Linked DNA regions of Saccharomyces cerevisiae S288C. Changing the gene in region 1 together with any one later gene gives a genetic interaction. Each region holds a gene or a part of one and is shown on either strand. Other genes may lie near its edges.

The links.
Region 2: mutations in VPS21 (region 1) and VAM7 together harm fitness more than expected from each alone (negative genetic interaction), as found in Saccharomyces cerevisiae (3 studies listed by BioGRID).
Region 3: mutations in VPS21 (region 1) and GTA1 together harm fitness more than expected from each alone (negative genetic interaction), as found in Saccharomyces cerevisiae (3 studies listed by BioGRID).
Region 4: mutations in VPS21 (region 1) and NNF2 together harm fitness more than expected from each alone (negative genetic interaction), as found in Saccharomyces cerevisiae (3 studies listed by BioGRID).

Annotation. Positions count from the first base shown.
Region 1 is NC_001147.6:488,959-493,963, reverse strand, and holds VPS21 (Rab family GTPase VPS21), read left to right. Parts: upstream 1-3,135; coding exon 3,136-3,768; downstream 3,769-5,005. Other genes in the region: translation machinery-associated protein TMA46, read right to left, coding at 1-531; type 2C protein phosphatase PTC5, read left to right, coding at 1,123-2,841; YVC1 (Yvc1p), read right to left, coding at 4,230-5,005.
Region 2 is NC_001139.9:89,048-94,218, forward strand, and holds VAM7 (Vam7p), read left to right. Parts: upstream 1-2,384; coding exon 2,385-3,335; downstream 3,336-5,171. Other genes in the region: CLG1 (Clg1p), read left to right, coding at 1-292; SKI complex subunit WD repeat protein SKI8, read right to left, coding at 1,007-2,200; NCS6 (Ncs6p), read left to right, coding at 3,465-4,544; Rab family GTPase YPT32, read left to right, coding at 4,745-5,171. UniProt on the Saccharomyces cerevisiae protein: Essential for proper morphogenesis of the vacuole. May exist as structural reinforcement on the surface of the vacuolar membrane and be required for maintenance against rupture by osmotic pressure.
Region 3 is NC_001137.3:67,851-75,113, forward strand, and holds GTA1 (Gta1p), read left to right. Parts: upstream 1-2,627; coding exon 2,628-5,498; downstream 5,499-7,263. Other genes in the region: threonine aldolase GLY1, read right to left, coding at 1-942; IES6 (Ies6p), read left to right, coding at 1,907-2,407; GDA1 (guanosine diphosphatase), read left to right, coding at 5,921-7,263.
Region 4 is NC_001139.9:654,158-661,264, reverse strand, and holds NNF2 (Nnf2p), read right to left. Parts: upstream 4,306-7,107; coding exon 1,495-4,305; downstream 1-1,494. Other genes in the region: CTT1 (catalase T), read right to left, coding at 4,943-6,631.

The DNA.
Region 1 (5,005 bases):
ACCGTATTTACCGTTTTCCACGGCCTCGATGAAGTATTTGCATACTTTGTCGGTGGTGGTCTTTGGGTTACCGTGCTTCGACAGGATAACTTTTCTCAGCTTTTCTTCATCCCAGTTGTCCATTGTGTCATTTTCCTTTTCACTTCTTGTATCTTGGTATAAATCTTTCTTTTCCATTCTTCTACCGACGTTCAAGTCATGTGAGAACTTACATTTGGCACCTTTGTTACAATTCCCCAGTTTGAACAGAGCACAAACCATGGACTTGGGATCTACACCCGCACGAACCCTTTGGTCTGCTACAGGGTTGAATAGTGCTCTTCGTTCAGCTTCTTCGGCTTCTCTGCGCTTTTTTTCTTCGAGTTTCTTTAACCTCATCTCTTCTTTCTTGGGGTCGGATTGTGATTGCACTTGTTTGATGTATTTTTGGACTTTGGTAGAACGGTTCTTGTTCTTCATACCGAACGTCTTGTCGACATTATCCTTCTTCTTACCAGCCGCTTGGGCCTGTTTTCCCTTTTTTGGTGGCATCTTCGAAATATAACTTTCCTGCGATTTTATATGTGTAAAGCCCAGAGGTTTACTAATAGAGTGGCTTCCCTTGCTTTCTAGAAATAGTAAAACACATTGATTAAAAAAAGATATATTGTCGATTTTCACTAACTCATCGCTGGGGAACAAAAATTTTTTCATTATCATCACAGTTCATCATGTTCGACGAGCTACGTGCCAATTCATTTCCTCCACTAGTCTCCAACTTAAGAAATACTCTCAGAGGTTGCAATCTTGTGCTGTTCAGGGTGTGATGGGCAGCATTGACTAAATTTCCTTATCCCTTGCATAGTTACATTCTTAGTTATCAGGTATTGGCGACCAATTGCATACATTTTTATTTTCTACTTTAAAACTCAGTAATGAGCAGTTACCGGCCCTTCATTATGTAGAAAAACAGGATTCACTTCTTTCTACACAAGATACAAAAAAGAAAAAAAGGATCGATTGGAGGGTAAACGAAATCGTGTGATAGGCAGGAAAAGAAACATCTATTGCTACTTTAATTGAATTTGTGCTCTACTGAAATTTTTCAACAGAAGAAGTGCTTTTACTTCTCTCAATCTCTCCATGTCTCCCTTAACTAGAACCGTAGCTATAAAGAAAACGGTTAAGGTTCTATCTAAATGTCAATCTGGTAGAGAATACACACAGAAGTTTCTCCAACGTGCATATTCAACATCACATGCCAACAGCACATACTATTCAAGGACAAAGCTATTCATATCATCACATTCTAAAGCTCTAAACATTGCTCTACTAAGCGGGTCCCTACTGTTGACCTACTCCTACTATTCCCCTAAAAAGATCCTCTCCCTTGATACAATTAACGGAATAAAAGATTATTCTACAAATACTAGTGGTAACATTAACATGCCGTCACCTAATCCAAAAGGAACAGAGACACAAAAGAGTCAACGGTCTCAGAATGACCAATCTGTTCTTATCTTGAACGATTCTAAAATAGAGGCTAAACTACATGATAGAGAGGAAAGCCATTTTGTTAACCGTGGCACTGGTATATTCAGGTATGATGTGGCACAGTTGCCCTCTAACCATCCAATAGAAGACGATCACGTAGAACAAATCATTACCATTCCGATAGAAAGTGAGGATGGCAAGTCCATAGAGAAGGATTTGTATTTTTTTGGAATTTTTGATGGACATGGTGGTCCTTTCACTTCGGAAAAATTATCTAAAGATCTAGTCCGTTATGTAGCGTATCAATTAGGTCAGGTATATGACCAGAACAAAACGGTTTTCCATTCCGACCCCAACCAATTAATCGATTCTGCAATTTCGAAAGGTTTTTTGAAACTAGATAATGATCTTGTAATCGAATCGTTCAGGAAGCTGTTTCAAGATCCAAACAACACAAATATTGCAAACACTTTACCAGCGATTTCTGGTTCTTGTGCACTATTAAGTTTATACAACTCCACTAACTCAATTTTGAAAGTGGCTGTCACTGGAGACTCAAGGGCTTTAATTTGTGGTTTGGACAACGAGGGCAATTGGACGGTAAAGTCGCTATCCACCGACCAGACCGGTGATAATTTGGATGAAGTACGGAGAATTAGGAAAGAACATCCAGGAGAACCAAACGTTATAAGAAACGGAAGAATATTGGGTTCATTACAACCATCCAGGGCATTTGGAGACTATCGCTACAAGATCAAAGAAGTCGATGGAAAACCATTATCGGATTTGCCTGAAGTTGCCAAACTTTATTTTAGAAGAGAGCCAAGGGATTTCAAGACACCCCCATATGTCACTGCGGAACCAGTGATTACTTCTGCCAAAATTGGTGAGAACACTAAATTTATGGTGATGGGTTCGGATGGTTTATTCGAATTACTAACTAATGAAGAAATTGCTTCCTTGGTTATCAGGTGGATGGATAAAAATATGAATCTGGCACCTGTGAAGGCAGAACCGGGGAAATTACCAAAAGTTATCGATGTATCTGAAGACAAGGAAGCACAAAGACCGGCATTCAGGTACAAGGATAATAATTCGAGCTCACCATCAGGATCAAACCCAGAGTATCTTATTGAAGACAAAAACGTCGCCACTCATTTAATTAGAAATGCATTAAGTGCGGGCGGAAGAAAAGAATATGTATCGGCATTGGTAAGTATACCATCGCCGATGAGTAGAAGATACAGAGATGACTTGACAGTAACAGTGGCGTTCTTTGGTGATTCTGGAACACCCTCAATTGTCTCCAATGCTACTTCAATAGTTATGAACCCGGAGGCAACAACAAAGCCAAAACCTAGATTATGACGATATAAACTTATGCTGAGGTAGGTATATACCAGAGGATTTATTTTATAGATATTAGTCTGCTGATTATCTAGTTTCTTGTCACCTCATACGTGTTTTTTTTTTTTTTGGTTTTCTCGGTTTGCATTATGGGGCTTTTTGCTAAAACAATATCCCCGAAAAGACAAAGAAAGAGAAGTGAGGTGAAAATACGAGCAGCTTATCTTATAAAAGTGGCAACGATTTTAAAAATAAAAAGCAAGATCGTCGACTTATCTAAGCTATAAAAAAATATCCCTTTTATCACACAAAAAAATGAACACATCAGTCACTTCCATAAAGTTGGTACTGTTGGGTGAGGCAGCAGTTGGTAAATCGTCAATAGTCCTAAGGTTTGTATCTAATGATTTTGCCGAAAATAAGGAGCCCACCATTGGTGCAGCATTCCTCACTCAAAGAGTTACTATAAATGAACATACTGTTAAGTTTGAAATATGGGACACTGCTGGGCAAGAGAGATTTGCATCTTTAGCACCTATGTACTATAGAAACGCACAAGCTGCTCTTGTAGTATACGACGTTACAAAACCACAATCCTTTATTAAAGCGCGCCACTGGGTTAAGGAATTACATGAACAGGCATCAAAGGATATCATCATTGCGTTAGTTGGTAACAAGATCGATATGCTGCAAGAAGGTGGGGAAAGAAAAGTCGCAAGGGAAGAAGGTGAAAAGCTAGCGGAAGAAAAGGGCTTGTTGTTCTTTGAAACAAGTGCAAAGACAGGAGAGAATGTTAACGATGTATTTTTGGGAATCGGTGAAAAGATACCACTGAAGACGGCTGAAGAGCAAAATAGTGCAAGTAACGAACGTGAGTCGAACAATCAAAGAGTGGATTTGAACGCTGCTAATGATGGGACCAGCGCAAACAGTGCTTGCAGTTGTTAGAGAGGGGAAAATAAATATATATAAAAAAAAAGTCTGGGCAAATTGAGATAAATAGATCTTCAAAACGGGAAAGATGAAAGTCATAATTTATCGTACCTAGAAAGGAGAGGGAGTTTTCATTTTTTACCGTAATCGTTGTTTTTCTTTTCTTCTTATAATTTGTAAATTTTTTAACTGCATTAGATCATTATATTATCTTTCAAAACGCCAGTCGTTTTTATTAGACCTTTATATACGTTTCAAAGTGGTTTGTACACGTTAGTTTAGTTAAACTTTTGTTTTCATGTAGACCAAAATATAAACTTATTTTATGCCGAAAATCGGGAGATGGATTAGTTAATATTGTAAATAATGATAAATTAAAGGAACATTAAATTTACAAAGTTGCAATGAGGAGCAATATATATATATATATATGGATTTCTGAGAAATTAATTAAGCAGTATTTGAACACATGTCGTTTACTCTTTCTTATCCTTTATGTCTAATTTTTCGAGTAGATCGGTAATTACAGCTGTCAAGTTTTCCACTTTCTTAGTGAGCTCTTTGACTTCATCTTTATCTTCACCAGCATCATCTTCAGTGTCATCGTTATCATACTGTTCGAAGGAGGGACTGCATTTTTTAACGTTTTTATACCACTTCTTAGGGACTTTAAAATGGACATCTTCCTGCTCTGCTGTTCTTTGCAGTTTTAGCGAACGGGAATTCTTTAACTGGGTGGCTCTCATGCCAGAATTTCGGTTATCAGAAAACAAACCGTCATCATCATCCAAGTAGCCATCTGTCAAATCCCATGGAGTATCATATTCATTGGCATCATCGTTTAACCTTTTCATCCTGTTATATTTTATCCTTCTAGCCTCCCGAGTTTCTTTAACAGAAATAAGCAACAAAAATGGGCTGTACACTATTGTCATTACAGTATAGCTCAAATCTTTAGCACGCTTCGGTGGAAGAATACGAAAGATAGGTGTCATGAACACTTCAATTAAGTTCAATGGAGAAACATAGACATCTTCATCAGGTGCTCTAATGTATCTCAACGTCTTTTGTGACATCAAAGCCATGTACTCGTCATCTGCATTGTCAATAACTTTTTGGTACGCAGTCGAATACAAAGCAATTAATATATTCAAAAGGATAACCGAAACAATAAAATAGTAACCATAATACAGTATTGCCGCATATGGGGGAGCGAATTCTTCGAAAACATCAAAACTACCAAGACCCAAAA
Region 2 (5,171 bases), on another chromosome or scaffold:
TAACTATTACAACTATAATCAGCCAAGATTGAATTACTATCAACAATTCCCCAATATATATTCTTCACCAATTTCGGAAACTCAGTTTGATTACGACTTCTACAATTTCAGTAGTCAACAACAACAGCAACAACAAAAACAACACTCACTTTTACCTGCCGCTCCACAATTACCTCCCCCTCACGTCCATAATCAGTCTTACGGTCATCATCTTGGCTGGAAGTCAATGGATGACACAATAAATCATTCAAGATTTGAGCGAAACTACTTTCCGTATTCGGCAGTGTATTAGTGAAAACTTTTTTTTCCTTATTTTTTCTTTGATCCCATCGAATTACTTTCTCTTTTGCCCAGGATCATCTTTCTAATCTATCATTTTATTATTTTCTCTCATGAGAAAACAGAATTTCGAAACAGATATAATAAAAAAATTGAAAAATTTGAAAAAAAAAAATCTAGAAACATATTTTCCTAAAATGAAAATCGGAAGCTAACAAAATTTTTGAAAAACGAAATAAAGAAGAAAGATTATTATTATTACTTTTTTTATTAGTACTCCATATGGACCTCTTAGGTGAGTGATCTTATTAAAAAAAATAAAAAAAATAAAAAAATATGAAAAAAAAAGAAAATTAAAAACTAAACAAATTTTATGACAGGAATAAAAACTATAAAAAATGAAAACCAAAAAAAAAAAGCACTGGATTTTTAACATCTTGTCCTTTTCTTTCCCTTTATCATTTTTTCTCATTTACTTTGTTATTAATTTTTTTTTTCAAGTTCTCCACATATACATATGTAAGAATTGAGTCTATCTCTTTCTAATATTTAAGAAATACATAAAAAAACCAATTTTTTTTTTTTATTACTAGCAAATTTATTTTTGTGAAGTGAAATTCATACATTGGCTTATTAAAGGTATTAAATATTACTGAAATTTTATGAACCAAAAAGAATAATGGATGATTGTAAGGTTACATGCAATATATCAAGATATTACTAGAGATTATTTACCGCCAGCTTCTCTAAACCACCTGATGCTTCTATCTAAACAAACACAGCATAAACTTTCATTTAAATCAGCTCCCATACCAGATCTCCAACCTTTTTTCAAAAACTTCACGTCAAAGACACCAGGTTCAGCTAAAGAATCTCCATGTTCATCAACAGCTAAGATATCCTCTTCAATTTCAATATCATCACAATGCATATTCAATGTAGTGATTCTTTCCTTTGTTTTTACATCCCAAAATCTCAATTTACCATCCCATCCGGCACTGCATAATGTTTCACCAGAATCATTAAACGATAGACTCATGACCCAGCTAGAATGTGCAAATTCACCCAGACTTGCCTGCGAGCTATGGGTTGGTACGGATAAGGAGCCTATTCTTTCACCAAATTCAGTTTCATATAGAGTGATGCAACCAAATGAATTTGAATCGTGAGCAATGGCTAATAAGGATCCTTGAGGAGAAAATTTCACCGATCTGATGGAATTCGAATTATTAATCATAGAATGCTGAGATTCAAAATTGTACAACGGGCGTAATGTAGATAGTTCTGAAATTTGTACTGTTCCATTATTAAAACCTGTGGCAATTAGTCCTCGTTCAGAGATATCCACAGAAGTGGCAAATTGACTTGGAGTCATAGGCGATTCGACAGTGCCTTGTAATTCTAACGTGGGGCTCCAATTTAGTGTTAAAGAATTTGACTCATCTGCAAACGGGTGAAACTTCCAAATGTAAGTGGTCCCTTTGACGTCTGTAGCAACCAGCCTATGGGAAAGTAGTCTGTCATTTGAGGCACCCCATTTTAATGCCCAAAAGGAATGCTTTTTCATGTCTGAGTCTAGAAGATCCAATTTCTCGAATATAACTTTTTTAGTCTCATCTTCTCTAGTGATACGATAGAAGAGTAAATCGCCAGAAAATGAAGTGGTAGCAACAAGGCATAATTCAAATGCATCTCTCTCAATAGCTTGCAAGACATCGACATGGTGCAATCCGGACTTATGGACAAAGTGAGAATATGACTTATCTTTTGGATTTTCATTATCTAACAGCTTATTATCCCACACCTTTAAGTAACCGTCACCTGAACAACTTACCGTAAATGAATTGCAAGCAGAAACCGAGAAAATATCAGCGTCATGAGCTTTACCTGCATTTGCTGTGGCAATAAACACTTTGGACATTTTTCCAATACTTGATTAACCTCTTTTTCGTTTCTTGTCTTTATTTTAGATTTGTTTTAATATCGCCTAATTTTTCCTTCTTTACTTTATATTTTTTTTATTTTTCGCCTAAAGATTTGTATCAATTAATTAGCCAACAAAAACAAAAACAATAAAGTCATATAAGGGTTGATAATTGATATTGATGGCAGCTAATTCTGTAGGGAAAATGAGTGAAAAGTTAAGAATCAAGGTGGACGATGTTAAAATCAACCCCAAGTATGTTTTATACGGTGTTAGTACACCAAACAAGCGCCTTTACAAAAGGTATTCCGAGTTTTGGAAACTGAAGACACGATTGGAGAGAGATGTAGGAAGCACCATCCCATATGACTTCCCTGAAAAGCCCGGTGTATTGGACAGGAGGTGGCAAAGAAGATATGATGATCCGGAAATGATCGATGAAAGACGGATCGGACTAGAGAGGTTCCTCAATGAATTGTATAACGATCGTTTTGATTCTCGATGGAGAGACACAAAAATAGCGCAAGACTTCCTGCAGTTGTCAAAGCCAAATGTTTCTCAAGAAAAGTCACAGCAGCATCTAGAAACTGCTGACGAAGTGGGATGGGATGAGATGATAAGAGATATTAAATTGGATTTAGATAAGGAGAGTGATGGCACACCCAGCGTGCGTGGAGCACTAAGGGCACGTACGAAGCTCCACAAGTTACGAGAGCGACTAGAACAGGATGTGCAAAAGAAGTCTCTTCCAAGCACGGAAGTGACTCGTCGCGCCGCTCTATTGAGGTCCTTGCTCAAGGAATGCGATGACATTGGTACAGCAAACATAGCTCAGGACCGTGGACGACTTCTGGGGGTTGCCACCAGTGACAACTCTTCAACCACGGAAGTTCAAGGAAGAACGAATAACGATTTGCAACAGGGGCAGATGCAAATGGTGCGCGATCAAGAACAAGAGTTGGTTGCACTGCACCGAATTATCCAGGCACAACGTGGATTGGCCTTAGAGATGAACGAGGAGCTGCAAACACAGAATGAGCTACTTACAGCACTTGAAGATGACGTCGATAACACTGGTAGGAGGTTACAGATAGCCAACAAGAAGGCTAGACATTTTAACAACAGTGCTTGAATTAATGAGTTACTATCCGGGTTACAAATCCTGAGAGTATATTTGTACTAAAAAAAAAAATTGTAAATCTAGTAATTGAAAAATTTTGGCGATGAGACGATATGGTAAGAGTAAAGCAAAGGAACCGTCATGTCGTTTACTGCTCCTTCAGATCCCGTCAATAAACCGACAAAAGTGAAGGTATCACAGTTGTGTGAACTATGTCATTCAAGAAAGGCTCTCATTAGAAGACCCAAAAACCTGTCTAAACTTTGCAAACAATGCTTCTGCCTCGTGTTCGAGACGGAGATCCATAACACTATTGTAGCAAATAACTTGTTTCAGAGGGGAGAAAAAGTAGCCGTGGGGGCCTCTGGTGGTAAAGACTCCACGGTGTTAGCGCATATGCTGAAGCTTCTGAATGACCGTTACGATTACGGCATTGAGATTGTACTGTTGAGTATTGACGAAGGAATCATCGGATACAGAGATGATTCCTTGGCCACGGTGAAAAGGAATCAGCAGCAGTATGGCCTTCCTTTGGAGATTTTTTCCTTTAAGGACCTCTATGATTGGACAATGGATGAGATTGTATCCGTTGCTGGTATAAGGAACAGTTGCACGTATTGTGGTGTTTTTAGAAGACAATCATTGGACCGTGGTGCTGCAAAGCTGGGCATATCTCACGTTGTCACCGGCCACAATGCAGACGATATGGCAGAGACAGTACTAATGAATATCCTACGTGGTGACGTAGCAAGATTGGAAAAATCGACTGCGATTATCACACAAAGTAGCGGCTCTCCCATCAAGAGATCAAAACCATTTAAATATTCTTACCAAAAGGAAATTGTCCTGTATGCGCACTACATGAAGCTGGATTATTTTTCCACTGAGTGTACCTATGCCCCAGAAGCGTTTAGGGGCACTGCGAGAGAATACATGAAGAATCTGGAAGCAGTGAGGCCCAGTTGCATTATAGACATCATCCAAAGTGGCGAAAATTTGGCATTAAAGGCTAAAAAATCTAACGCTGGAAAGAGAGTCGTCAAATTTGTTGACGGCAATAGATGCGCTAGATGTGGATATCTGTCGTCAAATAACATTTGCAAGGCGTGCATGTTGCTGGAAGGACTGGAGAAAAGTAGAGCCCAAGTGGCAATCGAGAATGACACTTCTGCCGATGGTGCAGCCTTGAAGCTGAGAGCTCTTGAGAAACTCAGCTTTTGACATATATATAGCTCGCAGTAGAAGAATGCAGCGTAACATAATATAATATAATATAGTACGGCGCGCCCTCCATTAGAACGCGCAACACAATAAAGACAAATAAAAGAATCAGCTATAAAGCTGGCCATTGCATGGTTCGCGCTGGAAAGAGAGGAAAAGCGTGGTGATAAAGAGCGAACCAAGCATATTGTTTTCCAAGAATGAGCAACGAAGATTACGGATACGACTACGATTATTTATTTAAGATAGTTCTTATCGGCGACTCCGGTGTGGGTAAATCTAATCTGTTGTCGAGATTTACAACCGATGAATTCAACATTGAATCCAAATCCACGATTGGCGTGGAATTCGCTACAAGAACCATTGAAGTTGAAAACAAGAAGATAAAAGCACAGATTTGGGACACGGCAGGTCAAGAACGTTACAGGGCCATCACGTCTGCGTACTACCGTGGTGCTGTAGGTGCACTTATAGTGTATGATATAAGCAAATCAAGTTCATACGAAAATTGCAACCACTGGCTTACCGAACTGAGAGAGAACGCAGATGACAACGTGGCTGTTGGGTTGATAGGGAACAAATCAGATCTGGCTCATTTAAGAGCAGTACCAACCGATGAAGCGAAAA
Region 3 (7,263 bases), on another chromosome or scaffold:
ACCCTTCTTAACAAGGACATCTGGGTCCATTCTAGCGGCCTTCAGGTTAATAAAGACAAAGTTGGTGTCTGCTGGAGACTCTAGCGGGATGCCCTTTGCCTCACAATATTCGGCTAATTCATGAGCCAAAGAGTGCGAGTACAGCAATTGGGACTTCCAATCGTTGTTGATGTTTACAAGAGCCATTCTAGCCATCATACCAGATTGTCTAATACCACCACCTTGTTGTTTTCTGAAATGGGTGGCCTTCTTGACAAACTTAAGGTTCCCAACCAAGACGGACCCAATAGGAGCACCCATAGACTTGGATAGACAGATGGAGATGGAGTCGAAGATTTCCCCATATTGCTTTAATGGCACGCCAGATTGTGCAGCGGCATTCCAGATTCTGGCACCGTCACAATGTAGTTTGAGACCATTTTCCATACACCAAGCTTTGATGCGGACCAGTTCTTCCAATGGATAAACAATACCGTGTAAAGTGTTTTCCAGAGAAATCAATCTGGTGGGGGCACCGTGAATATCACCGTCGTCTGGGACGTAGTGTGACTTGATGTCTTCCAAGGTCAAGTAGTCACCGTTGGAAGGAACCACAGGAACCACCATCGCTTGAGACAAGATCGCCAGTCCAGCGGCTTCGTGAGTGTAAACGTGAGCCCTGTAATCACATAGAATAGAGTATGGAGGTTGCATCAAGTGAGTTCTGATGGCAATCTGGTTGGACAAAGTCCCAGAGACACAGAACAAACCTGCTTCTTTGCCAGCCATGCGGGCAACGGTCTGTTCGAGCCTAACGGTGTCAACATCTTCACCGTAGACAGCGTCACCGATAGAGGCCTCTAAAGCGGCCTCCATCATCTCTGCAGTTGGAGTGGTGAATGTGTCTGACCGCAAGTCGTTAGCAGCGGTGATATATTTTGGAGGCAATTCGAATTCAGTCATTGTGTTTATGTTTGCGTTTGTGTGCGGGAGTAAAAGTGAGTGTAAGCCTAGGAAAGGAGGTGGTTACGAACTAGCCAGCGGAAACAATGTACGTATATGTATGTAAGTATTACTCTATACCAGACAGAACAAGATAGACGAGAAGGACACATGGAGGATTTGACAGGCAAGCTCAACACTTGCTTATATATATACACATATGTGCTATTGCAAATGCAAAAAGCGTATATCCAGTGAAGAAAAAGACGAAAAAAGACGAAGAAATAAAAAGAAAAACCGGTGAACGAATATGGCAAGTGAAAAAGTGCGCAATGAGTAATACAAAGGGCGAAGCAGCGGGAAAAAAGAAACGGCGCTGCTGCCCGGAAACCGGAAGCGAAGCTTTGTGGGGTACGGGTGCATGCTCGGCTTTTTCCAGATAGGGGAAGTGCCGTCGCCAAAAAGGCAAGGGTCCGTTTCGCGTGACATTTCATAGCGGGCCAAGCGTGGGTCACGTGCTGCACAGGCCTGCCGCTGGCATGATTTGTCAGCACATATACAACAAGAAGTATTGGTTGCGTTGAAGAAAAAAAGAATAGTAATAACAATTTGGGGCCGTGTGTAAAAAAAATAGGAAACAGCTACCCCGGCGTGCCGTGTGGCTCTCTGTGCGAAGGAAGGCCCTGTCGCCGCACATATTCGATGAATATCGATGACGACGACTACCTTCTGGTTGCATAGTTTATTAGTCTGTGCCTGTTCTTCGGCGAGTGAGTAGATGAAAGAAAGAATGAGTTAGAGAGAATTCTAGGCCAGGTTCGGCTTAGTTAAGCTTAGCTTACTTTGGGTTTACTTAGCGTGCTTTTTTTCTTCCGCGCTGAGACGGTGAGGAATGGAAGTGTAAAGAAGCGAACGAGGGAAAAAAAGTTGTGACCTAGGGGAAGGTTAAAATTGTCATCATCATCAGCGTGAGAAAGTCGAAACAATGAGCGGTAGTAGGGGCAATAGCAGCAATAGTAGCGTCAGTAATAATAGTAATAATAACAATAATAATGACGGGGGCGACGAGAGATTGCTGTTTCTAAGAAGCGTGGGCGAACGCAATGAAATTGGCTTTCCCTCTAGATTCAAGTCGGCGCATTACAAGAAACCGACAAGAAGACACAAATCAGCGAGGCAGTTGATCTCGGACGAAAACAAGCGGATCAACGCCTTGTTGACCAAGGCTAACAAAGCTGCAGAGAGTTCTACTGCTGCTAGGCGACTTGTGCCCAAAGCGACGTACTTTAGCGTGGAAGCGCCACCGTCTATCAGGCCTGCCAAGAAGTACTGCGATGTTACTGGGTTGAAGGGCTTCTACAAGTCGCCTACGAACAACATTCGGTATCACAACGCAGAAATCTATCAGTTAATCGTAAAGCCGATGGCCCCCGGCGTCGATCAGGAGTACTTAAAATTGAGAGGGGCCAACTTCGTTCTAAAATAGGCATTGTATATGTATGTATGTATTTTAGCTTGTAGACAACCTTTCACACTTACATAGTTTGTCGCTGGTCACGTGCGACAATGCAAAATAGTGTAGAGTAAAGCTAAAAAGGACAAGATAAAGTGAAAAAAAAATAATAAAAAAAAAAAAGGAATATTGTTAATGGAAAGCGTGTAAAGACACATTACGCTCCTACCTAGGACTACCAACACATGCATGGATGCCAGTCTCTGTAATAACCACGGTTTTAGCATGTCTGTGGCTCTCTTATAGGCTCTATAAGTTTCTCACTATTCCTGTGTCCAGCATCGTCTCCACTTTGAAGATCAAAACTCCACCGGCAACAAAAGTGTCTATCGACAAAATAGCCACGGATTCAGTGACCATTCATTGGGAGAACGAACCTGTAAAAGCGGAGGACAATGGCAGTGCGGATAGAAACTTCATTTCCCACTATTTGTTGTATCTGAATAACACACAATTGGCTATCTTCCCAAACAACCCAAACTCCCTTTACACATGCTGCTCCATCACGGGTCTCGAGGCGGAGACGCAGTACCAGTTAGATTTTATAACGATTAACAACAAGGGCTTTATCAATAAGCTACCCTCCATTTACTGTATGACGAAGGCGAGAGAGGCGAATGAAGCGTTAAAGACTAGAAAATGGAGAAGAAACACCATCACATCGTCCACAGCTATGCAGCCCAGAAACTCCAAGTCCGAACCCGCCCCGTTGCCCTCTCACTACTCCTCTGTTTCCCTGTCTACTTTCTCATCCAATATTACTAATAGCGCCACCAGCAATAATGGTTCAAATCTACCCGCTTACACATCTTTGACTACGTTGAAGGATTTGGATTCGTTTTCCATCGATGATCTGAAAAAGATACTGATTTGCGCCCAGGAGGACTTACACGATGTGTTGTCCCAACAAACTTCGCTTTTGCAAGATTTTCAAGAATCGAAGTTAGAATTAGAACTAGAACTGGATAACTTGAAAACACATTGGTCGCACGAAATTGACTTGCGGAAATCCTTGAAATCCAATATCAAGTCATTGGAGAATTCTAAACTATTGACCGATTTGAAAATCGAAAAATTGAACAAGAAAATCGACAAATCCAAGGAAAAAATATCGAAAATGCGCAATGATATGCAGAAATGGTCTCAGGAAGATACCGAGCTGTTGTCTAAGGATACCATAAAGGAGAAATATTTCAAATTGCTAAATGAATCCAATGCCTCTGTGGCCAATATCAACAAAGAAATTGAGTCTTTACAAAATGAAATTTCCAAGATGGAGGAGTCTAACAAGAGATTGAACGCCTCCAAAAAATCATTGATTACTTCCATAGTGGTGAATGCCAATGTGGAAAACGATAAACCTATTGCTAGCGGAGAATTGTCGGCTGTTTTGAAGAAGCTCAATGATTTTACTTTAGAAAAAAATGGATTTTTAAGTAATGCTGGTGAAGAGTTTCTATCCAAATTGAATGCAGACTCATCATTGATTAAAATGATTAAGCAAGAGCTAAGCATTGATCAAGAATTGGAGGCCAACTGGAAATTGCAGAGGTCAAATTTGTTGAAGAAAATTAGTGCTTTAGAAAACCAATTTAATGAAATGAGCCTTAATAATCGGAATTTGAAAACAAAATTAATGGTTCAACCATATAAGAATAACGGTGATTCGCTTGCTGCCACCAATTCGAATAATTCCGCGGAAAAAAACAGAAGTTCTGGATCGATTCAATTACCATTATCCAACAACATGTCAAGAACGGGGTCCATTGATTTAATATCGAATAATAACAAAAGTATTAACAACAGTAATGCTGATTCTGCTCCTCCGTTGAGGTTGCACAATCCAGTTTCGTACTCTCCTTCGAATGAACCCATACAACCTTCAAGCAGTCTATTGAGTCAATTGACACAGGACACCGATAATCGATCAATGCTCTCCAATCACATCTCATCGAACAACGAAAACAAGCAACAGCCTTCTTCATATTCACATGCTTTACCTACAACTGCTACTGCTAATGCAACAGCAACAGCAACAGCAACTAATGGTCACTCAAGGTCAAATTTATGGACCACCGCACAATTCGCTCAACCTTCGCATCAACAAGTATCTACAGAATTGGATCAAGCTTTTGAATACGATAATGCAAACCACTTAATCAGTGGTTTGCAAAATATGATCTACGACGAAACAGACTATCCTGATAACATAAGCAATTATTCCAAGGGTTTTACTACAGACGAACTTGACAATTACTGGACTAAGCAGCAACCCCAGGTGCGCAGCACAAATGAAAGTCTTTTCTCTACGACTGGAACACCTATGTCATCATATAAGGCTAACCCAGTAATATCTCCATATTCTAGTTCTCATTTGCGACAAACCTCCAACGCAACCAATACGAATCCTATGCATCCACAGAGTCTACTCGCCGCTACATTGAATGATCCTTCATTACAAAGTTTTGTACGCAGTGGTTCTTTCTACAGTGCTCCGCAACCTGCAAACTCCTTACAGAACAATATCAATGGCAATGAAACCGAGAACATTAGTCCAAGGATATCAAGTGACTTCAATTTATTGGTGCCAAACTTGAGCCCACGACTCTCAAACGATGTGCCCATTGTTCCAGGCAATAACACTACTTTAACACCTTCACACTCGAACATATTAACAATGAACCATCAACCAACGGCGGATAACATTACACGAAGATCTTTCCATGCCTCTTCACCACCTTTCAACTCCATATGGAATTCAAATACAAATCAACTTTCTCCTCCATTGGAGGAGCAGTATCACCTCGATGTGCCTGTGGGTCCAAAGGTTCCCGCTAAAGAACCAAGCCCTAAGCCTTCTCACAAGAGGAACCAAAGTAACAGCAGCATTTCTTCTGCATGGTCCAAGTTTAAGCACAAGTCTGCATCATCACCTGCTAATGCGGACACGGATATTCAAGATTCATCAACTCCATCAACTAGTCCAAGCGGTAGAAGAATGTCAAAACTGTTGTCCAAGAGCGGTATGAATAATCTATTTAACCCGCACAGTCACGACTCATGAACAATATTATAATACTTCCAGGTCGTGTATATATGTAGATATATAAATTATGAAACATAATATATGAAAGCAGTTTGAGCTTATTCTTAATCATCAATAGGGTAACGGTATTAATCTCATTTTTTCTTTTTTTTTTTCTTTTTATTTTGGCGTCTCGTCTCAATTTCATTTTTCCCATCTTTTTACAACTTCAATATGAAAAACATAACACATGAAAAATAACTGTCAACATTAATAATATTCCTTGCATAGTGCTTCGATTTTCCAAATATAAAAACAGTTTCTTTTACAAGCTTATTTAATTTTGGTTTTAAGGAGAAAGCACTAATAAAAAGGGCAAGGACTGCAATCAACAATCTTTATTGGCGAACAGTTAAGGGTCCTCTCGAGAAGAAACATTAAGACATCATCGCACAAAAAACATGGCGCCCATCTTTAGAAATTACCGGTTCGCTATCGGTGCTTTTGCCGTTATTATGCTCATTTTGTTGATTAAAACATCTTCCATCGGTCCACCTTCTATTGCACGTACAGTTACTCCTAATGCTAGTATTCCCAAAACTCCGGAGGACATCTCTATCTTGCCCGTCAATGATGAACCAGGTTACCTTCAAGATTCGAAGACTGAACAAAACTATCCTGAGCTTGCCGATGCTGTGAAGTCACAAACAAGTCAAACATGCAGCGAAGAACATAAGTATGTTATCATGATCGATGCCGGCTCTACCGGTTCCCGAGTACATATATACAAGTTTGACGTCTGTACTTCCCCACCTACATTACTTGATGAAAAATTCGACATGTTAGAGCCTGGTTTATCTTCTTTCGATACCGATTCCGTTGGTGCCGCTAACTCCCTTGACCCATTACTGAAAGTAGCAATGAACTATGTCCCTATTAAGGCAAGAAGTTGTACTCCCGTTGCGGTGAAAGCTACTGCAGGCCTAAGACTCTTGGGTGATGCCAAATCTTCAAAAATTTTGAGCGCTGTAAGGGATCATTTGGAGAAGGACTATCCTTTCCCAGTTGTCGAAGGTGATGGTGTTTCCATCATGGGCGGTGATGAAGAAGGTGTCTTCGCCTGGATTACTACAAACTACCTATTAGGTAATATCGGTGCTAATGGCCCCAAGTTACCTACTGCTGCCGTTTTTGACTTAGGCGGAGGGTCTACACAAATTGTTTTTGAGCCTACTTTCCCAATAAATGAAAAAATGGTCGATGGTGAGCATAAATTTGATTTGAAGTTTGGTGATGAAAATTACACCTTGTACCAATTTTCTCATCTAGGTTACGGTTTGAAGGAAGGAAGAAATAAAGTTAACTCTGTTCTTGTGGAAAATGCATTAAAAGACGGCAAAATATTGAAGGGTGATAACACTAAGACTCATCAATTGTCATCTCCATGCCTACCGCCTAAAGTTAATGCCACAAATGAAAAGGTTACATTAGAATCCAAGGAAACTTATACCATTGACTTTATAGGGCCGGACGAGCCAAGTGGTGCACAATGTAGATTTCTGACTGATGAAATTTTGAATAAAGATGCTCAGTGCCAGTCTCCACCATGCTCTTTCAATGGGGTTCACCAACCTTCTTTAGTTCGTACATTCAAAGAATCGAACGATATCTATATTTTCTCTTATTTCTACGACAGAACCCGTCCATTGGGTATGCCCTTGTCCTTTACTTTGAATGAATTGAACGATTTGGCAAGAATAGTGTGTAAAGGCGAAGAAACTTGGAATAGTGTCTTCAGTGGCAT
Region 4 (7,107 bases), on another chromosome or scaffold:
CAGAAAATTGGAGGGGCGGATAATAACAGTTTCAACTAGACGGAAAAATCGATACAAGATAAATTTGGAGGTACGGCAAAAGATTCGCTACCGAGCCTAAATATCCACTTCGTTACGTTCATCCACATGAAGATGTGAACAGGTGTTGGTATTCTCGTGTCCACAGCAGCATCAAAATCAGCAGGCCATGGATAAACTTTCCGTTGTCATAGCAGTGGCGCGGTCGATTCCCTATAATCACGACGATAGGACTGTAGTTGTTATCTTGACATACATCAGTATGCATGCTGAAATTTCCATCGTCGAGCACTATCAGAGCCACGTCCGGTATGTGTTGGAAAACGATCATTTCTTCATTGGCTAGTGTTCACGGCACTAGCATATTATTGTATATGACACAAGAATTAAGGCCCAAGCCATGGGATATAGTTATTGATTTCAGTGGAATCCGAAACTAAGATTAATAATGTAACAGGATATTGAACGACAGAATGCAAAAAGGAAAAAAATAGTAGCACTATTACTTAAAAATACCGATCTCCATTCATGGATCTTTGATCGTCATGAAGAACCCCTAATACATTCCGTATATTTTACCGAATAATGGAAACCTAGAAATTACCAGCAGATTCATCAATTCTTTAGTAGGCGCCTATTCTCGTGTGGAAACTATATTAAAGGGATTCGTCAATAACTAATCGTTACTCAGATTATCCCTATCAAATCGTGATAATATGTGGTAGGCCTCCATCTCTTCGCCAATTTTGCAAAACAACCTGAGAATTGGTCGTAATTGTAACCTAGAAAACTTGATATGAGCACAATTATAAGTTAAAATACGATACAATAATGTTGAGATTGGTTATTGATTAAATTCTATTGTTGTATATTACCAACTTACTCTCTATATTTGCGGTAGTGATAACCTCGTTAGAAACCTCAATCCATTGCAATTCTTTCCATGAACTTAGTATAAATTATAGAATATTAGTTTTCGTAGCTTGTAATGTATTTGAATTGGAACCATCTAATTGTTATCTGCCATTTTAGTATTTTGGACAAGCTCCAAATATGTGGTCCTAAGTTCATATCGAGGATACAGATTATTTGGGCCGTATCTTTGATGTCATGGAGAGTAGTGTGGCCTTCCAAGTCCTGGGGCAGCTATTAATTAGGGAATGTTTTGATCAACAACTTAGTGTTAATAGTAGACACAACGATGTGAACTGTTCAATACATCAGCAAACATTCTTAGTTTTTCTCATATTTTATGTTTACTTATGTTAACCTGCATTATTTCCATAAATAACAAAAGGCAAAAAAGTAACAAATGAAGTTATTAGGAAACAATAAAAAAACAATATCGAGAAAAAAACGACTGACTACATTTAAAGTAGAACGTCCAAGTAATAAATACATGTATATATTCAATAGAAGTAAATTTTAGGATGCTACAAAACGAATTCTTATCTATCTTTGTTTTCTAATCTTCCATCAGTAACTATTACCAATTAGACTATGTATATTTTCATTCTCATTTTCTAATCTGTTGATATCTTGCTCTAACCCCTTTATAGTCAATTCAAATTTATTGGCTTCGCGTATCCTGTACTCCTTTCTTCTAAATCTATCCTTTTCTCTTTTACTCAAAAATTGAGTACTGAACTTTTCTATCTCTTCTGCGTTCTGATCGACCTCCTTTTGTAACTTCTCGTTTCTCGCGTTCAATTTGTCCAGTTTAGAGCCTAGTTGAACTAATTCTTGATTGACCTTTTGGAACCTCCCTTCTGAGTTTTTCAGGTCTTTCGATAAGCTTTCTTCTAACTTACTGAACTCTAATTGATTTTTCAAGTGTAGATCTTTCTTTTTCAAGTATTCCTCTTCTAATTCAAGCTCTTTTTCAGTGAGAGTTTTCAATTGCATCTCTAACTTATTTACCGCAGTCTCACTTTGCTGTAGGGCAACCTTCAAATTTTCGACTTTTAAAGTGCTCTTTTCGTCATGTGTTGCGTTCTGTGAAATCCTGCCTTTAAAATAATCAATTTCTTGTCTCAAAAGACTTAACTTCTTGCTGAATTCCTTTTTTGTCTTTTTCAATTTTGTCCTTTCATCGGACAAATTTGCGTTTGTAGTTAGCACGGAATGCTTCAGAGTTAGCAACGGAGATAAGAATTTCCTATGGTAGTATGAAGGGAAGCTGAAATCAAGGTTTTCAAATTTTCCGGCAATCGCATTGTTATTCCCACAAGTCCTTACAATTAAATCAGAAACCAAATAATCATCTCGGTGATTTAGTCTGTTGATGAATTGAATATCATAAGAACAAGAAGGGACTAATCCGTTAACGACAACGTATTCTTCGCCTACATGCTCTAAAATTAAAGCGCAAGAAACTTCTGACCAGATAACACCGTTTACTAAAACAATGAGTTCGCCATCATGTAAATTTTCAATATGGAATGTAATAGAGTTTGTGCTAATATCAATAATGCAAACTTTGTAGTCATTATCATTTCTATTGAAAATATTTTCATTGGTGGAAACTAAATTTAAAAGATTGTAGTCATCAGATGTTGTCTTTGCAATCAGGGCCATAGTATTTGAAGGTTCGAAATTGTTAAACACGCTCTTCTTAAACTTTCCGGCATGGGTGAAACTAATTCTTGATGAAACTGAATGTGTATTAATCGTGTCCAAATCTTTGTCATGTTTTTCCTGATTACTGACGTATGAAGTATTCGAATTTGTTGGTGTTAGTGAATTTTCAGAGGTTTCTTGTAAGTATTTTTTTTCAAAATTCGTTGTTTTTAATGTAACTACCATAGACCAAAGAGGTGCAATCAAGTGTTGATTCTTTCTTCTGAATAGAAGACGGATAAAATTTTCCAAGTTTGATGTAACAGATATGTCTGAAGATAATTTGCTAGAAGAAAACATGTTCCCAAAATCAACATTCAGTTCAAACAGTTGGTTAGTATACTTGTCATTGGAAGGGGAAAAGAAATCAGAATCCTTTTTCGAATTTCCATTCGAGGAATCAGATAGAGAGATTTCATTTGACAAACTAGTGTTATCACCAGAAAAGTTGAACGTTGTAGGAGAGGTTGTTGTACTGGTAGTAGTAGTAACGGCTTGAGAATTGCTTCCTTCAGCAGAGATTACCGATGGCTGATATGACTTATATTCCTTGACCATAGAAGTGAAATAGGGAAAACTAGAAGTAGCATCAGTAGGATAAGAGGCGGCAGGGTTCAAAATATTACTGTGTGATGATAGGGGAACTGGCGAGTTATTTTGTTGGGATGGATGGATAGTTTGATTGCTGCTGCTAAGTCCACCTGGATCGTTCGGTATCATAGGACTTTGGTCCTCTAAAGTGTTCGAATCGGCAGAAACGGAAGAAGAAGAAGAAATTCTCATCTTTTGCAGACCTTGAACACGGGCTACATCTGGTTTAGTTGAATTGAAACCCTTTTTCAATGGCTTGTTTTCCGCTGTTTGTCTATGAGGGTGTAATAAACTTGAAGCAAATGAGAAAAAAAGGATGTGAAAGGATAGATAATAAATCATACTGTCTGAATGTTTGCCAAGCATCTTGAAAGGCATTGGCAAAAATAGAGAGAAAAGCTTTTTGAAAAACTGTGAATACTTGCGAAAAACCGTGAATAATTTAATTGATTGGCCGGTTCCTCGTAAAGACATATCAAATAACTGTATAATGTCAAAGAAGTGTGACACTCTTTGAAAAGTGTTAGTTGACACAGCATACAATACTGAGCATGAAGTTGCATAGCTTAAGCAATCGCTTGGATCATTGATCAAAAATGAGGCAATAATAGAAATTGCCAGATTTTTTATTGGCTTAACAAAATAATCGCCACCGTAAATCTTTAGTAACATTGCAAATAAAATTTCACAAATTAATACGGGGATCGGAATGACGAAGCTATTTTTTGAATTGCCAAAAAATCGTGAATTAGATTTTCGGTTTGAACTACCATTGGTCACTTTGGAAGTACTTATATCTATGTGCGCCACTTCACCGATATGGCGGGAAGGTTTTTTCGATAGGAAAAGTATAATAAAACAATTTGCCAGAAAATCTTTGCATTTGGTAGCAACAATAAAGGAAACCAATAAACATAGGGAAGTGAAGTGGTTAAAACTCAAAAAAACCAGGAACAATGCAAGCGTATCTTTAAACCTATGTTTTTTGGCAAATTCGGTGGGCTGTTCACTCCTTTTAGTGTTCATTAATGACTGTAGATGTGATACTTTCTTCTGATTAGTAAATTGTTCCTCCATGAAAATTGTGCATGGATCCTTTTATGTAACGGAGATAGGTGGAATCTTAAAAAATATTGGGGTGTATATGAATAAAAGTTATTCAGAGTGATTACCTAAAGAGATGGTACGAAAAATGTGGAGATAGAAAACAAAAAACTTTGGTAAGATATTATTATAACAGAAAGAATTTAAAGTTTTCTCTGCTGGTACTCTGTATAATCCTCTTAGTCCTAATAAAATTTGTTTATTCCTCTTTTAATAGAAACTAACGAGTTGTGAAAACCTAGTTATGTTACTTGTTATATTACACCTTCAAGAGGTTTAGGAATTCAACGTTATAAACACACAACTGCATAAGTTAGGCTACTTTTTTTTTTCAGATTGTCCGTATAATGCGATAATCGTTGAGTTCATGCCGATCTAAGTACCGAATTAGAAAAAAATGTGTCAAAAGTAGGCAGCCAATCTGTTTTGCTGCCATATTTTTCCTAACAGGATTTGCTATGTATGAAGTACGATAAGTATGAAATATTAGTGCTTGTACATACGACCAATTTGTAATAACTAGTGATGTAGAGAATAAACTTAAAGAAAACTTATGAATAAATAATTATGGAGATATAATTACGAATAATTATGAATAAATAGTGCTGCCTTAATTGGCACTTGCAATGGACCAAGTCTTGGCATAACCTTCAAGGTCAACAGGTTCCCAAGGAACTCCCAAGCATTCTGCAATGACTTTACCCAAATCTTCGTTTAGCAAACCAAAGTATTGCGTAACTCTCTTTTTGACTTTAGGATCTTTGATCTTACAAGCGTGGCAAACAACGTTATGAACGAATAATTTCTTCTGTTCATCGTTGTATACCTTTTCATATAGAGCTCTTGGCTGTTCGAAGTCTAGTGGACTAATACCATAAACGTAGTAATATTGATTAATTTTGGCATCAACAATATGCTCGTTTCTGATTTGGTCTTGTTCCTGTTTTCTCACAGAAACTTCTGTTACTTCGTCAAGAACTATCCCTTTGAACTTATCAGATACTTCGTCGTTGTCTTCATTTTTGAATTTCAGAGTTTGATTTGGTAAACTGGAAATATAATTTGGCTCAGGACCGAAATTGTAGTAACTCATTGGGCCGTCCCTTTGGAAGTTCACTGCTTTAAATGGACACTGTTCGGCAGTGTATTGGGAATCACCTTTGGAGTATGGACATCCCAAGTTTCTTGGTCTGTTGACGGGCAATTGCTGATAGTTGGCTCCCAATCTATGACGTTGAGTGTCTGGATAGGAGAAAAGTCTGGCTTGTAGAACGGAATCATTAGAAGGCTTAATACCTGGGATACAAGTGTTCGTTGGACTGAATGCAACTTGTTCAATTTCTTGGAAATAATTGTCAACATTCTCCGTTAGGGTGATGGTACCAAATTTTCTCAAAGGGAATTCCTTGTGTGGCCATATTTTCGTTAGGTCATTTACCGAATACCTGAACTTAGTTGCTTGTTCGGGTGTCATTGTTTGCACATAACAGTTAAATTTTGGCTTTTCGCCATTTTGCAATTGAGTGAACAGCTTTGCCTGATTATAATCAGGGTGGGAGCCTGACAGTTCAGCAGCCTTATCTCCAGTCAAGGTTTCAAAACCAGTATCCGACAAGACGTGGAATTGCACATATGTGTCCTTACCTTCTTTGTTGACCATGATGAAGGAATGACCAGAGTACGCGTTCATACTAGCCCACGAAGCAGGAGTACCTCTATCACCAAACATGTAAGTTATTTGATGGATTGATTCCGGATTCAATGTTAGATAATCCCAGTATATGGTAGTGTCCTGAAACTGATTCAGATGAGACTGAGGGTCTCTCTTTTGCGAATGAATAAATACGGGAAACTTAATAGCGTCTCTGAGGAAGAAGACGGGAGTATTGTTGAAGACCCAGTCATGGTTCCCCCACTCGGTATAGAATTTAAAAGAAACACCTCTTGGGTCTCTTGCAGTGTCTGGTGTACCACTTTCACCACCAACGGTGGAAAAACGAACAAGACCAGGACATTTGTAACCCACATTCTGGTATGGAGCGGCGTATGTAATATCACTCAAAGAATCTGTTAGTTCGAACTCCAGTCTACAACCACCACCTTTGGCATGGACTACACGCTCCGGAACTCTTTCTCTATCGAAACTTGCAATATTTTCCAGCAGATGGAAGTCTTGCAGTAAGATAGGGCCGTCTGGTCTTGAGTATTGAGAAGCGTATGGGTGATGAGAGTACGGAAAACCGTTTTGTAGAGAGTAAACTTTTTCTTGCTTTTCTTCTTTTTTACCGAACACGTTCATTTGTGAAGCTGAGCTGATTGATCTTATTGGCATGAGACAAGAGAAGGATTTTTTTAATAAGGGCAAGTAACGACAAGATTGAGTTCTGGAATAGAGGTAAAGCAACGACTTCTTATACGTGTAGCAGTAGGGGATACGATAAATGCACAATGTGTCCAGGCTACGTCGAATCCTTACAAATTCTACCTGTTGAGGGAGTCGGGGGCATTATCGGCTAGGCTAGCCTGCAGCCAGAGGGTGAAGTGAACTATACTTTTTCAGCATACGAATAGTACTGGCAATGACAATAATAACCCTTCTGGATCGGCGACGTACTCATCATTGATAGGAGGAAACAATACGCAATTTCACCGCTTGGCCCCTTACCGGTGATCCCCTTGAAAAAGAGGGCCGTCCGCGGTCTTGGCTTAGGGTCTCTGTGAAAGCACGCAGGAGAGCTGCTCAACGCGGAATGGAGATAACGGAGGTTCTATCCC